3 linked regions of the Arabidopsis thaliana genome follow. The protein of the gene in region 3 interacts with the protein of the main gene of each other region in a pairwise test. Each region holds a gene or a part of one and is shown on either strand. Other genes may lie near its edges.

Region 1 (4,613 bases), on a different chromosome or scaffold from region 3:
AATTGGGCTTTTTCATTACATAATAATTCACATGCATGACAATAAGACTTCCAATGTAATAGAAGGGCCCAGGTTCATCCGTTTCTAACTTCTCCTGCAAGCAATCAGAGAGATTGCCTAATACAGAGTTTACACGATTGGTTACGCAGAGGAATTGTTTAAAATCTCCCAAATTTATCCGCCTTTGATCTGGATTCTCTGTCGATGTCTATACACTCGCGTTTAAACTTAGACAAACATAAGTAAGAAAAGCACAGAACATAACTTTCTGTTTTGAATTAATTACTTGTAAATCAAGAAATTCCTAAAACAGAGGAAAAAGTGTCTGTAACGCAGCAACTACAGAATGAAATATACAAGCCCAGGATTCTTGGACAACAAGTTAGTATTCTCTAGTCCTCTTTCAAAGAACTAACATAGCTTGATTGTCTGAAGAGGTGATCACAGAGACACTGAGACAAACAGATATAAAATAAGGGATACATTTACATGCATTTTGTAACTTTGTACATGCATTGTTATTGGATCAATGGAGATTAATTTAATTCCTTATACCAGTAACTAGCAAACAATCCCTAATCTTAAGCTAAATCTTCGTAAGTCTTAGGTATAATAAGCCTAACGGTTTACCCTAGGAAGTGCTTCTAAGGGTTATTCCAGAAGGACCAGAAACAGAGTTACCATTCAAGAAGATTCAGTCCCGGATATAGGTGAAGACAACTCGGAACCGACATTAAGATCTCTTTCCCTAAAGCCGATTTGACGAAACAGTTGACGAACTTCAAAGCATCTCAAGCACTCAACTTCATACACAACCTTTATCCCAAACGCAACAAGAAGTTGTTTGTCTTGTGTAGTTATGAGCACTATGCTCCCTGGACCAAAACAGTTAAAATATTCTGCAAGAGCATCTAACTGTTCGAGTTTGTCGACATTGTTAGCCACAAGTAGAACTTTCTGACTCATGAGCCTTTTTTTTATCAACCCTGAGGTCTTCATCCTCGAGTACCCTCCTTGAATCCTGATAAGAAACTCGTCTCTTAGATTCGACATTTGACAATCGTGAGGGATCCCTTTGACGTTTTCGAGAAAACAATGACTTTGGAATTTCTTAAAGATCTTTTGATAAACGTATCTAGCTAGAGCTGATCTTCCATTACCTCCTCTTGCCCAAATTCCAACCACTCTCACACCTTCATTAGAATCCAAATCCAACAATGGATACAACTCTTTCATGCGTGCATCAAATCCAAGTTGGTTATTGATGCTCTCACTTGGTGGTGTTACCGAGAATAACATGTCAGAAATTCTCTTGGTTATCTCATCGAGTAGCTTCGAGTCATCTTCGCTATAACAGAGGAAAGAACGAACTTGATTCAACAAAACCACTTAGGATTCAAATTGTGATAATAAAACAAAGATAGAAAAGTACCAATCACGAGAACAATGGCCGGAGATACTGGCCAAATTGGTCAGAGCTTGTCTCCATGACACCACAGTCTCATAATTTTCCCTTCCTTCATGTTTCCTAAACTGTTTAGCGACCTGTTCGATTTGTCTTCTCACATGAGCAGGCTCGACGTTGTAAAAGATTGGCATAACGATGATGGAACCCTTCTTTTCGACATCCATGATCATCACTAGCTCTTGGAGACACCAGGGAGACGCAGAGTAATTCTTTGAGATAATCACAACGGCGATTTTGGAGTTTTCGATCGCGGCGAGGAGATCTGAAGCAATCCGACGACCACTCTGGAGTTCAACGTCGTCTTTGAAAGTTCGAATACCCATTTCAATGAGTTCTTTGTAAAGAAAGCTAATGAAGGTCCTGCGAGTGTCCTTGCCTCTGAAACTCAGAAAGACGTCGAACTTTTGTGGAGTAGCTGAAGAAGAAGACGATGATGAATACATTGGACTGAATCAAAATAAACATCGGTTTTTTTACTTTCAAACTTTGGAAGATGATAGATGGCTTGATTTGAGAAGTTAGCGAAAGAGAGCAAAGCTCAATAGTACATATAGATTCAGATAGCATAATAATTAAAATTTCCAAGAAAGTGTTGAGAATTTACCAAGAAAAGGTTATTAAAAGTCATGAAACTGAAAGGGTCCAAAGAATAAAACCTACGTATCGCTTATTCGATCAATATTCGAATTGGCGATCTACGTGTTAATGCTTTGATGATCAGTCATCAGATGATGTAACTCCAATTCTATTTCTAGAAAATCTTAATATATATTTCACCATTGAGACTTTTTCTAAGATATAAGGGAACGTGCAATCCTAAGAGTATACTGCACGGAATAAACGGTCGGTGATGGTTGAATAGTTTTGATGCTGAGCAAACGGAAAAACTGTGGTCAGTGCTACGTAAATATATTAATTACTATTTATTCTTTATTATGAGTTGTCATTGGTAACGTGGAGGACCTAAAAAAAATTCGAAGTGACTTTAGCCAAGGATTGAATGTTTCATCATGAGGTCATAACGGATTTAGCTTATGTAGACTTGTAGTGATTCCACATGTTGCTGAAGTGAAAAACCCAAATCTTCAAACGTTTTGCCAACTCGGCTCCCGTGTCTTTAACATGTCGCATCACCATCTACAGCTTACCACGTCAGCTTCCACGTCTCTATCAGCTTGTTTTCCATCTAGTCTGTATTCTTTAATCCATTCTCATATATCATATACTTTTGTTTTTTTAGTACTTTTATAGTCTACTATTGTTTCAACAAATGATAGTCAGAAAAATAAAATGATAAATTTAAAACATAGCCAATGTAAAATATAGCATTTTCAACACATAATAATATACCTTCAGTGTGAATGCATTAATATTTGTCCATTTCTCTGTATCTGCAGCGGTTTCAAGCAGGTATGTGTCCCCTGTTTCTGCTACTTCTATTTTCGTTGGCCAGTAAGATTAAATGGCTATTCGTTTATAACTAGACTAATTTTCCCTTTTCCATAAATCTTGGATATTTAGAAGAGATGATTATACAGACTTACAGAGATAAACCTATAAGTAGATAAGAGATAACACACAATACCATTGTGTACTCCATGACCAAAACTGTGCGAAAGAAATATAAAAGATGGGCTTTGTTGATACCTACGTTTATAAGCGTTGACGCACATGCATTATCATTGAGGAAACCAAACAAGATGTAAGGGAATATAATACAGGTGTTTTATCTTTGGGATGCTTCCACGATATCTTTATCTTCTAATGCTTCCATAATCTTCCAAACTTCCTTTATGTCTTTACCTTGCTTTGCATTGAGTTTAAGCAGTGTAGCTTCCCACTCCTCTTTATCTCTACCAGTTAAAAACGAACCAAACAGTCTAATGGTCACAGGAAGAAACCCTGCAAGCTGAACAGCACGAACTGAGAGGCGTTCAAAATCAGGAGAAGGATATGGCTGCTTGAAAGCAAAACGTGAGAAGAGTTGGAGAGCTTCATCATATCTTAGAGAACCAACTTCATACACATGATTCACTCCTGATTGCACAAGCAAACTTTTTTCTTGAGTGATTAGAATGACTCTACTTCCTGGAGCAAACCAGTTGGCGTTCTCCGCGATCCACTTTCCTTGTTCAATGTTGTTCACACCATCAGCTATCAAAAGAACTTTCCGGTGTTTTTGCTTTGCTTCCGCCATTTCATTCATCTCATGATTCACACTTCTAAGATCTTCCCCTTCAAAGTTTTCTGACGGTAGAAGCATTTCTTTCATGTTTTCGACGTTTTCTAGGAAAACATGCGCCTGAAATTTAACAGAGATCTCTGCATAAGTGTACCTTGCAAGTGTTGTCTTTCCCACACCTGAACTACCCCAAATACCAATGGTACGAACCTTTTCGTCAGATTCTAAAGCCAACAACGCATACAATGCTTTCATGTGACGGTCCATTCCTGCAAGGCCTTTGAAATCGCTTGATGCAGAGGACAGAAACATAAGCCTAATGTCATCAGCAATCTGCTTGATCCGGTGTGTTCCGTGCATCACCGCAAGATTCCGAGAAAACGAGTACTGTGCAGCTATGTTGTCCAGTTTGGCAATTGCAGTCCTCCAAATTTTGGCTCTCTCAGGAAATATTTGAGAGACTTTTTCCACATCCAAAGGGTGTTTTGTGAGGAAGACTGGTATGACAGTGAGTGAACGTTTCTCTTGAAACTCAATTATTACAATGAGCTCTTCAAGGAACCCAACTGAAGAAACTTCTTCATCAGACGTCATGACAACTGCAACTTTGGACTCTGTCAAAGCCTCAAGCGTTCGTAGATCAATTGGTTTGAAGCTACTCTCCTTCCAGCTTTCGGATTTAAAAGCTTTGATACCATTTCGTGACAAATCATAACCAAAATCAACGTCAAGAGCTATCTTACCGCTGAAACTCAAGAACACATCCAACTCTCTTCCAGCCAACAAAAAAGAATAAGAAGTAGACATTCACTTTTTTGTTTTAGCAGCAACTAAATAAACAAAGATTACAAAGTATATTTCTTTTTTTTTTTGTGTCAGTGTGTGTGTGCATTCTATACCATTTGAAGGAAATGAAGATAAGGTACCAGGCCATTTAGCGTTGACTTGTCACTGTAAAGCTGT
Region 2 (5,402 bases), on a different chromosome or scaffold from region 3:
TATCAGATAATGTGTCAAGTTGGTTGGAGGAATATAAAACCGATCATTAGACTTGTAGATTACAAGAGCATAAAGGCCTAACCTATATAATAAGTAAACACAAGAAAAAGCTTAAATCTCTCTTCCAAACAGTTGATTTCCTAAGGATCATTCTGGGTACCACGTCAATTTTTGTTTGCCTAAATAAAAGAAGAAGGAAAAATACAAAAGAGAAGGATAAAAGGGGATAACTATACCGGGATGGTTCTAATTAGCTTAGTAGCTATGTGGGTGGTCTGATCCACCGGAATCGAGTTCTTAAGTACACTTGAAGCCATGGCAAACCGACAAAATGATGATGAGAATCAAAGCGACAATGATGCCAAAGACTATGAGCTTTATCTTCATGTTTTCGAACCACAACTTTCTTTTCATCTTTGTTCCTTGTGTTCTAAAATCTTGTGCCTATTAACAAACAGAAGAAGAAGAGCATGTTACCACTAGATAATAGTGATGTAGTGTCTCTTATACTGTATTTGAGATGTGGTTATTATTAACCTGTGAGCGAAGGTTCTCAGTTTTGTCTACTAATAGCTCGATTTTCTCTCCACGGTCAAGGACCTGCCATAGGATTGAATTGCAGAAAACACATTCAGCTTACAGGTGAGGAGTTGTCGATGAAAAACATGGATAATTTAGTCTAACCTTCTCAATATTCTCCATCATAACACCCTTCACTTCAGTCACCTGAGCCTTAACTTTGGAAAGTTTGCTAATCTCCTCAGGATGATCCGCACAGTACTGCATGTGCTCCTTCAATTTAGACCTACATTCATTACAACAAAACCATTTAAAACACACATCCACAAAGATGGAATTGAAAAGAAATGCTCTGACTAAAAATGTTAAAAGTACCCGAATTCTTTGTTCAAGCTGTTGGCTTTAGCAGTGGAAGCTTTTCCACCACCGTATCTCTTGTTGAAATCCTCCTTGACTCTCTCCAAGAAAGCCATTGGTATCTGCCTCCCAGCAGATTCAATAACAACAACACAATAGGCTGCATAACAACAGAGGGAAATGAGAAATCTTATTGTCACATTCCAACTAAAGCAAATTCGTGCATTGGACAACCAAAGCTTTCCAAACATAAAAATCTTCACAATAAACATTCCAAAGAAGCCATGCATAAAGCTGATTAAAATCAGAACGAAAACAACAGATTGCATATCCAATCAAGACATGGCATTGATTAGAAGAAAATCTGAATATAACACAATGCCACAAGAATCGAGAGCAACGAATATCCTACGAAATTCAAAGCTACACTGTTCTCGAACATTTGATTTCGAAACTAAGCATTCATAAGAAAACAGATGAACCAAGGCATAAACAGAGAAATACAGAGCAAAATCGACACAGATCGGGAGATAGAGACTTACTGAAGCCATTATCAGCGAGATAATTGAAAGTGTGACCGTCGCAATTGTAGGTAAATTTGTTGTTCGAGGACGGAAGTTTCTGGAGACACTGAGCGGCGACGGAGGTGAAATTGCCCTTGAACTCGGTATACTCGGCGAGGATCACCGTACCGCGAGCGACGAAGCTGTAGATCAACGATTGTTGTCCCATTCTTCCTTTTATCCAGATGAGAGAAAGATAAAAAAACGAAACCTAAGAACACCACAAAAATCCGATCGAATTGATGAGAGAGATTAGTAAGCGATGTAAAAATACACAAGGGAACGAGGGGTAGCGATGGAGAAAGCAGGACGCAGAGATCGGAGAAGAGAAACTATATGAGAGCGCTGGATTTGCGCGAGTAACAGAGACATTATTTTCCCTTTGGTAACGTTCAAATTTTGAATTTTTAAATATAAAAAGTAAATAAAAAGAAAAATTCATCATTTGTATAGTCGAAAATTGCCTTAATAAACTTTATTTTGGTAAATAATTCACGTCTAATTAATAATAGTATCTTCATGTTTTTACACCACGGTGGCTCGTTTTTCAATTCAAATGTGAAATGTTTATCAATGAGCATTTTAAAAAACAAATATATATATATATATATATATTATATATTGATTTTTTATAAAGAAAATTGCGATGTGTAAGGGATATTTGAGTTGTTAAATTTTCTATAAATTATATGTTATGTTACTTAAAAGAACGTTCAATTGATAATGTTGCAAACCTTCCTACCAAAAAAATTAAAATAATGTTGCAAACCTTTTCTTTCATTCCAATTCACTAACCTTCTATTCTAACCACAACCTAACTACCTAAATTTCAATTATTTGATTGTTGATCAAAATCTTTAGGAACACGTTAAACAAATTAATTAGCAGGTTCTAAACAATGCAGAGCAATTGTAGATGACAAGAGATAACGGTAGAAGTTCGAATTTTGTTGCTGTAACAAGATACTATGACTATGAGCTCCCCCCGTCCATTAAGAATTAAGAAATTTGGTTAATTACAACATTTGTTTTTATGTTTAAGCCTTTTGTTCGTAACTGAGCTAATACTGGAATCACTGATCAATGATGAATTTGGAAAAAAAGATATTTTGAGGAAGACAGAGACAGACTCTCTTCGACCATGGGACCTGAACTTGTCCTAAAGTTGGTAATTACTAATTTGTGCCATCGGCAGAGTCCACGAGCTTTTTGGCTGGATCCGGGCGGGTCCAACTTTCTCGACATTTGTTTGATCTCTCCGTTTTGAAATTGTTTTTTTTTAGTCCTTAAATTCAAGGTTTTATACTATTTTTGACCCAATCTGACTACCTTAAATGACAACTTTACCCTTGCCCGCTTTTCAACTTTTTCTTCTCCCATGTCCACTTTAGTCCTCGTTTTGTTCTTTCATAGTCTTCTAGATCTGTAGTTTTTTTCCGCGACCGCCCAAAAAATTCTCTGATCAGACGGTCGATTGGATCGGAGATTTAAGGTAAAGAAAAAATGGCGCAACAATCGTTGATCTACAGTTTCGTAGCTCGCGGCACGGTGATCCTCGTTGAGTTCACTGATTTCAAAGGTAATTTCACCTCAATCGCTGCTCAGTGCCTCCAGAAGCTTCCGTCTTCGAACAACAAGTTCACCTACAACTGCGACGGTCATACCTTCAATTACCTTGTCGAAGATGGATTCAGTAAGTCACTTTTCGTTTGATCTATGCATAGGTTTTAATCTTACACCATTCGGTGCTTACCTCGATTTGTTTCTAGGTTTATTTGCCTAACCTATCGATTCGTATGGATTTGTGCATCCTGAGTAGTCTGATTTCACTGAGGAACCGCATGAACCAAGCTTTTAGGGTTAGATCTATATTTATTAAACGCAATAAATCTCTGTAGAGTCTTACCTGTATAATCACTCAGATTTGGACAGAATCCGTGGTAGCTTTGGTTGATACTATGTGGAAGAACACCAACATTGATCTGAGACAGGGTTTTTACTGGTTGCTTTATTTGCGTATAGTTTCCTAGGTCATGGGTTTTGGCTGGCTTCATTTTTCAATGAAAATCTGGGGTCTTATTGTAAGCTTTTGTGACTATCCTTTAGTTGTTGTAGCCATATCAATTTCATATTAAATCAATGTCACCTGATTATCCCGTAAGGGAAGACAAGGAGATTGATTTTGTTCCTGTTGTACAGCCTATTGTGTTGTTGCGGTTGATTCTGCTGGGAGGCAAATTCCCATGTCCTTTTTGGAAAGAGTAAAAGAAGATTTTAACAAGCGATATGGTGGTGGAAAGGCTGCAACTGCTCAAGCAAACAGCTTGAATAAGGAGTTTGGGTACTTTTTCATTATCTCTTCTATTTGGATGATCTTCTCTTTTATATTCGTGGACTGACTCTTTTTGGTAACTTTGAAGCTCTAAACTGAAAGAGCATATGCAGTATTGCATGGATCATCCTGATGAGATTAGCAAGCTTGCTAAGGTGAAGGCGCAAGTGTCAGAAGTTAAGGGTGTAATGATGGAAAACATTGAGAAGGTTTGAATCTGACCCTTTCTGTCCTCAATGTATATATTTACATCTATGGTTGACCCATCTGAAAGAGCTCATCTAGTCATACTAAGTTACTGTGAAATCAATTACTAATAATTCAATGCATTACATCTTACGGGAAATGTCCAGTTTACCAATGTAACACCGCTTACATATGCGACTCATTATTTGCAGGTTCTTGACCGTGGTGAGAAAATTGAGCTTTTGGTGGACAAAACCGAAAATCTTCGCTCACAGGTTAGACTCTCTCATACCCTTATCTCCTGCATCTATTTGCCTACACTCACACACAAAGATGAACATGCTTTTTGAGTTCATAGCTGACTCATCCTATTACCATATCTTGTGTCTAACTGAACTCAAACTGCCACAGGCACAAGATTTCAGAACAACAGGAACGCAGATGAGAAGAAAGATGTGGCTTCAGAACATGAAGATAAAACTCATAGTGCTCGCCATCATTATCGCACTGATTCTCATCATCGTGCTCTCAGTTTGCCATGGGTTTAAGTGTTAAGCCCAGAAAATTCAAAACTTCTGAGATCTTTCTCACTCGGTACATCGTAGTGCCTTCTCTTTTATTGTTCGATCTTCAATCTAATGTTTCTGCTTGAATTGGTTTTGTATAGATAGACATATATGTATGCTACTCATTTGCTATATTGCTTGCATCTGATGACATTGATCCCTTGCGAACCAGTCAGTACTTGACAAGAGATCCGAAACTATTAAATGATTTTGTTGACTGAAGATTGCATTGTGGTGGTGATGATAAAAATTTGAGATTGTATTGACGATTATACGGCGTGATGTGTGCTGGTTACTTTAAATTTAGATAAGAGTAGTGCCCTCTCTATATCGTTACTAGGGATGGTAGTACATATATATACGTACGTCATATTCCGACCACCAAGGTTGTTTTGTTCAAACTCCTCCCGCAACGCTTGAGTAGATCTTGTCGGCCATCGGGTCGTTTATGAGTTCAAACATACGTGTTTACTCTGCTATCAGTAGGAGCAACCAATACAGAGTTTAGTAGTACATACAGAAGCATCTTGTCAAGAAACAACAATCTGTAGTCACAATGGTATAAATATTTGGGCTATTTTAGTTAAGTGGGCCGAATATTTAATGGGCCGTAAAACCTAATTTGAGATCCTGCAACCAAAACTTTCCCGCTAAAACACTCTCATTCCCGCTCAAGCTCACACCAGATTCCGATTTTCACTTTTGTTCACCGAGCACCAAATCCCAACAAAATTCCGATACGGTCAATCATATCAGAGAATGGAATTCGATATCCCATTGCCGGAGGAGCTTGAGCTTCTAGAAGCCAATTCTCATTTCTACGAAGAAGAAGATGAGTACCTAAACTTTGAGGAGCCGCCATATCCTTACCCAATCGACG
Region 3 (5,961 bases):
CAAGTATCTTCATTATTAACTAGTGGACACTTGGCAGATTGTCAGCTTATGTTGGAGATGCTGCTGGAATTTGAGCTTCACTAAGAGCTGTTCTTTTATTTTAATTGTTCATTTCAGGACACACTCCATGAGTACCTTGGCATGATGATGGCTGTCCAAGGCGCATTTGCAGATAGATCTAGTGCTTTACTGACAGTTCAGACGCTTCTATCAGAGCTTCCTTCTCTGCAAACTAGAGTTGAGAAGCTAGAGGCTGCATCATCGAAGGTATTTGGTGGTGACAAATCAAGGATCCGAAAAATAGAAGAGTTAAAAGAAACAATCAAGGTCACTGAGGATGCAAAAAATGTTGCCATCAAAGGGTATGAGCGAATCAAGGTATTTAGTAATAACCCTATGCATATCACAACTTGTGCTGTTTTACCAACATGATATGAATATTTTGGTTATGCTCTGTGTAAATTTGTATCATTGCAGGAAAACAACCGATCTGAGGTTGAGAGGTTGGACAGAGAAAGGCGTGCAGACTTCATGAACATGATGAAGGGTTTTGTTGTTAACCAGGTACGTTATTATTATGCAGCACATTAACATTAGAAGGATGATGCCTTTCTTAATTGCCCAATAGAGTGAAGAATGTGATAAGGAGATTGTTTAGTTTAAGCACAAAGTGTGTGATTTCATTCTTAGTGAGATTTCAAGAGTGGAGAAGTAGAATAAAAAGATGGCATTCATGGGTCTCTTGTAGGCAAATGAAAATGAGTTCTTTTAAAGATAATGCGGTAGAAGAGAGGATAGGAATATATAAATTTGCTAGTAATCAAAGAGTCCAGAGTTTTAAAGAAAGAGTTGTGTTCTTGAATTGGACGCAGGTTGGATACGCAGAGAAAATGGGAAACGTCTGGGCAAAGGTTGCAGAAGAGACCAGCCAATACGATAGAGAGAAGCAGAGCAGCTAACAAACACAGAAAAAAAGAGAGTGAACGATGTTCATTTTGGCATAACCATACCAAATCCATGTATGGCACAGAATCACATTGCGTAATAATGGTTTGTCAAAAAGTGTAGTTTCCTTTTTCATATGTTGTATCTATCTTGATAGAGATTGGTAAACGTTCTTGTTTGTTTTCTTTAGTTGCTGTAAATTAGTTTTCTAGAAGCATCTCTGACTACAGCTGCATTGACTCATACCCATTGTTTTCTGGTATATGCCGCCAAAGATATATCTGATAGTTTGGTAAACGTTCTTTGTTTTCTTTAGTTGTTGTATATAAGTTTTCTAGAAGCAGTTCTGAGTTCTGACTGCGTCTGCATTGCCCTCATACCCATTGTTTCCTGGTAAGTAACAACCAGTTCGTTTTAGTGAGTTGACCGAGAGAGAAAATGAACCATCGAGCCACCAATCTTACTCGTAAACCGGCCGGTTTATCTCCTAAAGCGAGACCAATGAGGCAATGACAGAAAAGTCACGGAGACGTCAATATTCGCGAAAGGGAAAGATTTCACAAAAAGACAGCAGAAATTATCGCAATATTACACGCCCATGCCATTTTCAAACAACGCGGCCAGGTCAAAGATCGCGTCTGTCTTAAGGGGTAGTTTCGTCATTTCGACAAGTTTTTTCTATCCATCCAGTCTTCTTCCTTGCTTGGAACTTTCTTCGTCTTCGATTCCCTTCCTTGCTTCTTTCCCCGTCGATCTCGCTGTGTGACCTTTTTATTTAGTGACTCGAGATTACATAAAATCTTCTATACACTGGTTCCACATCTGTTTCAATCATGGCGGAGAATGGTGAAGAGAAGTTACTTGCTGTTGCGCGTCACATAGCCAAAACACTTGGCCACAATGAATCCATGGCCGATGATATCTTACAGATCTTCTCCAACTTCGACGGCAGATTTTCTCGCGAGAAGCTCGCCGAAGGTCAAGCTGGAGAAGATGGATCCGGAGTCGCCACACTCGAGCGAGCTCTAAATTCAATAGACGGTCAGATCTCTCGCTTTGTTGCTGCGGACCAACCAATTTGGGCTGATCCTGCAGATTCAGCTGCTTTCCTCGACACAATCGATGAGCTCGTTGCAATCATTAGAGAGTGGAGTCCCATGGCTTCAGAGAAACCTATCGGCATCTGTCTAACACGCGCCGACGATATGATGCAGCAAGCTATGTTCCGCATCGAAGAAGAGTTCAGGTCGCTTATGGAGCGTGGAGCTGAGTCTTTCGGACTTAATCCTCAGGGAGACGCTGGTGCGATGAATCATCGTTTCGATTCTGAGGAAGAAGAAGATGATGACAGAGACTTCAACAACGGTGATGATATTCAGATCCCAGTGGCACAGCCACTCACTGACTACGATCTTATCATTGATGCTCTCCCTTCGGCGACAATTAACGATCTACACGAGATGGCTAAGCGAATGCTTGGCGCTGGATTTGGTAAGGCGTGTTCTCATGTTTATAGTTCTTGTAGGAGAGAGTTTCTGGAAGAAAGTATGTCAAGGTTAGGGTTACAGAAGCTGAGTATTGAAGAAGTTCATAAGATGCCGTGGCAGGAGTTAGAAGATGAGATAGATAGGTGGATCAAAGCTGCTAACGTTGCTCTAAGAATCCTGTTTCCTAGCGAACGTAGACTCTGTGACCGTGTCTTCTTCGGTTTCTCCTCTGCTGCTGATCTTTCGTTTATGGAGGTTTGTCGTGGCTCTACCATTCAGCTTCTGAATTTCGCAGACGCGATTGCTATTGGAAGCAGATCGCCTGAGAGATTGTTTAAAGTGCTTGATGTGTTTGAGACAATGAGGGATTTGATGCCTGAATTTGAGTCTGTGTTCTCGGATCAGTTTTGCTCAGTTCTTAGAAATGAAGCAGTAACTATTTGGAAACGGTTGGGAGAGGCGATAAGAGGTATATTTATGGAGCTTGAGAATTTGATCCGGCGAGACCCGGCTAAAGCTGCGGTTCCGGGCGGTGGTCTCCACCCGATCACTCGTTATGTGATGAATTACCTCCGTGCGGCTTGTAGATCCCGGCAAACCTTAGAGCAAGTGTTTGAGGAAAGCAATGGTGTCCCTTCTAAAGATTCAACTCTGTTGACTGTACAGATGTCTTGGATCATGGAGCTTCTAGAGAGTAACTTGGAAGTAAAATCTAAAGTGTACAAAGATCCAGCTTTGTGCTATGTGTTTCTGATGAATAATGGGAGATACATTGTTCAGAAAGTCAAAGATGGAGACCTAGGATTGCTGTTAGGAGATGATTGGATTCGGAAACACAATGTCAAAGTGAAACAATACCATATGAATTATCAGAGAAGCTCATGGAATAAGATGCTGGGGTTGCTGAAGGTGGATAATACTGCAGCAGGCATGAACGGTTTGGGGAAGACCATGAAGGAGAAGCTGAAGCAGTTCAATATTCAGTTTGATGAGATATGTAAAGTGCATTCGACGTGGGTAGTGTTTGACGAGCAGCTGAAAGAAGAGCTAAAGATCTCACTGGCCAGGCTTTTGGTACCGGCATACGGGAGCTTCATCGGCAGGTTCCAAAACCTTGGAGACATAGGGAAAAACGCAGACAAGTACATCAAGTATGGAGTTGAGGACATAGAGGCGCGTATTAACGAGCTGTTCAAAGGGACTACCACGGGAAGAAAATGAAGGTAACGAACACAAAAATAGCCTCTTGTAACATCTTCGTAACGAACCACCTGCTAAATGACCAATAGCGAAGTCTTGCAGGGAGGATTTGTAACATGTATTGTGTATCCTTTTAGACAGTTAGCTCAGCTCTGTTGTGTTGTTGTGTAATGTTGTATTGTAACTGGATCACTTTTTTTGTCATTGTAAAAAGAGAAAACAGTTGAAAAAGATGACATGTTAGGGACTTGGATCTACTTCTAAGTCTTGAGTGCATATTTTATCAATATGTTCTTACATCTAAGTCTTCCCTTTTAACAAAGGAGTCAACACAAGATTTTTCATTATTTTACTGATTCTCAATAATTGTGTAACTATCACCAAGTAACCATAACCAACTAGTACCAACTCTTGAAGATAGTAAAAAACAAGAGAGGACACAATGGATATTTGATGTTTTTAACTCTTGAAATAAATAATATAAGAGAAGTTTCAAAACTGAGCAGAGTACCAAAAGAAACGAAGTGAGTCTAGGAAATATGAAACGTCTAAAGAAGCATAACAAAGAACTGAAAATCACAAAATTAAGCAGCCTGTTGACTAGCAAGCCTCTTCCTGGCCTCCTCGATGATAGTCAGCTTGATACCTTTGCCCTTGGGAAGAGACACCCATGGCTTTGTTCCTTTGCCAATGGTGTACACATTACCCAACCTTGTTGCAAACTCATGTCCTGTTGAATCTTGGATGTGGATTGTCTCAAAGCTTCCCTTATGCTTCTCACGGTTTTTAATCACACCAACACGCCCTCTGTTTCTACCTCCTGTAACCATCACAACATTGCCAACATCAAACTTGATGAACTCGACAATCTTGTTGGCCTCAAGGTCGAGCTTGATGGTGTCATTAGGCTTGATGAGCGGGTCAGGGTAACGGATGGTGCGACCATCGTAAGTGTTCAGGTAAGGAATGCCTTTCTGTCCAAACTGGATAGATCGAACCTTGCAAAGTTTGAACTGTACAAATAGAAGACATAATGTTAGAACACAACATATCCCCATCATGTCAAGTATCACTCTAAAAGACAACTAAACAATGACAAGAGGAGAACAAACCTTTGCTTCCTCATCCTTGATGGAGTGGAGACGGAAACGTCCCTTGGTATCATAGAGAAGACGGAAGTTCTCATTGGTCTTGGGGATAGACACAACATCCATGAAACCAGCAGGGTAGGTCTTGTCCGTCCTGACTTTCCCATCAACTTGGATATGCCTTTGCATCAAGATTGAAATCACTTCACGGTAGGTAAGAGCATACTTCAACCTGTTCCTGATGATAAGGACGAGGGGAAGGCACTCCCTTGACTTATGTGGTCCAGAAGACGGCTTTGGGGCCTGTGTGGAACCAGAAATGAACATACTTATTCAAACAAACCCAAGAGATATATATAAAATTGAATCAAAACTGAGACAAGAAGAGAGAGAGTAAAAGACATACAAATGCACCACCAAGTTTGTCAAGCATCCAATGCTTAGGCGCATTAAGCCTCTTCAGATGCTTCTTCAAACCCCTCGCCTGTAAAATTTAACAAAATAAATGTTAAGAGATGTTATTATTAAGGAAATCTCTACTGCTATGTATATCATCATCATGACCTAAATCAGCGACACATTTGAGATCTAATGAGCTCAGATCTAAGGAGAATCACCATGATGCATATAATATTCACAAGTTATCGAATCAATCAAATTGCTAACAAAACCCATTCTCTAAGTCACTCTAACACAAACCCACCAGAAACGAGAGTCGAGTTAAGGAACTATCTAGATGTAAACAATCACTAAGCTCAGAAGAAAGAGATAGAGATTAGAGGATGACGAACCATGTTTTGAGTTTTGCAAGCGTAGCTCCGATCCGAACTACCTGTTGTTTTCTTAGAAACAGCTCCGAACCACTTGAGAGAAAAAGTGAGAGCACGTACAAAACCCTAATTGGCCATTTATATACCCTCTTCCAACTCCATGATGTTAGGGTATTATGGGCTTATTAAGTGAGAGGCCCATTTATATATATGGGTAGAGATTTGTTGTGGGTAAAAAAATATCCAGCCAGGCCCAAACTCGAAACGAGCGTGGCCATAAAAAAACTAAATTCAAATACTGAACGGGTTCTGGGATTTATGGGTTAAATGTTAAAACCTTCATGTGTTCCGGAATTATCCGTCAGTATCTATTTATTTTCTGTATTTTGCATTAGATATTTATACTCGGTGTCATACGTATTTAAATTTTTTTCTTCTAGTATCATATATACTAATATTATGAATTGTACA

Evidence for each region. The genes of interacting proteins can lie anywhere in the genome.
Region 1: the proteins of EXO70B1 (region 3) and AT1G17615 interact in a two-hybrid assay, tested with the Arabidopsis thaliana proteins (one study listed by BioGRID).
Region 2: the proteins of EXO70B1 (region 3) and VAMP721 interact in a two-hybrid assay, tested with the Arabidopsis thaliana proteins (one study listed by BioGRID).

Annotation. Positions count from the first base shown.
Region 1 is NC_003070.9:6,056,739-6,061,351, reverse strand, and holds AT1G17615 (Disease resistance protein (TIR-NBS class)), read right to left. Parts: upstream 1,964-4,613; 5' UTR 1,912-1,963; coding exon 1,433-1,911; intron 1,349-1,432; coding exon 685-1,348; 3' UTR 501-684; downstream 1-500. Other genes in the region: AT1G17610 (Disease resistance protein (TIR-NBS class)), read right to left, coding at 3,195-4,457.
Region 2 is NC_003070.9:1,330,966-1,336,367, reverse strand, and holds VAMP721 (vesicle-associated membrane protein 721), read left to right. Parts: upstream 1-2,716; 5' UTR 2,717-2,941; coding exon 2,942-3,131; exon of another isoform or gene 3,132-3,637; coding exon 3,638-3,779; intron 3,780-3,858; coding exon 3,859-3,979; intron 3,980-4,168; coding exon 4,169-4,231; intron 4,232-4,367; coding exon 4,368-4,511; 3' UTR 4,512-4,902; downstream 4,903-5,402. Other genes in the region: VAMP726 (vesicle-associated membrane protein 726), read right to left, coding at 298-444, 538-600, 685-805, 895-1,036, 1,419-1,608; CTF18 (P-loop containing nucleoside triphosphate hydrolases superfamily protein), read left to right, coding at 5,282-5,402. UniProt on the Arabidopsis thaliana protein: Involved in the targeting and/or fusion of transport vesicles to their target membrane.
Region 3 is NC_003076.8:23,619,152-23,625,112, reverse strand, and holds EXO70B1 (exocyst subunit exo70 family protein B1), read left to right. Parts: upstream 1-1,569; 5' UTR 1,570-1,778; coding exon 1,779-3,653; 3' UTR 3,654-3,961; downstream 3,962-5,961. Other genes in the region: SNX2a (sorting nexin 2A), read left to right, coding at 118-378, 478-564, 873-959; AT5G58420 (Ribosomal protein S4 (RPS4A) family protein), read right to left, coding at 4,217-4,645, 4,745-5,023, 5,127-5,204, 5,512-5,514. UniProt on the Arabidopsis thaliana protein: Component of an exocyst subcomplex specifically involved in autophagy-related, Golgi-independent membrane traffic to the vacuole. Regulates autophagosome formation and autophagy-related Golgi-independent import into the vacuole.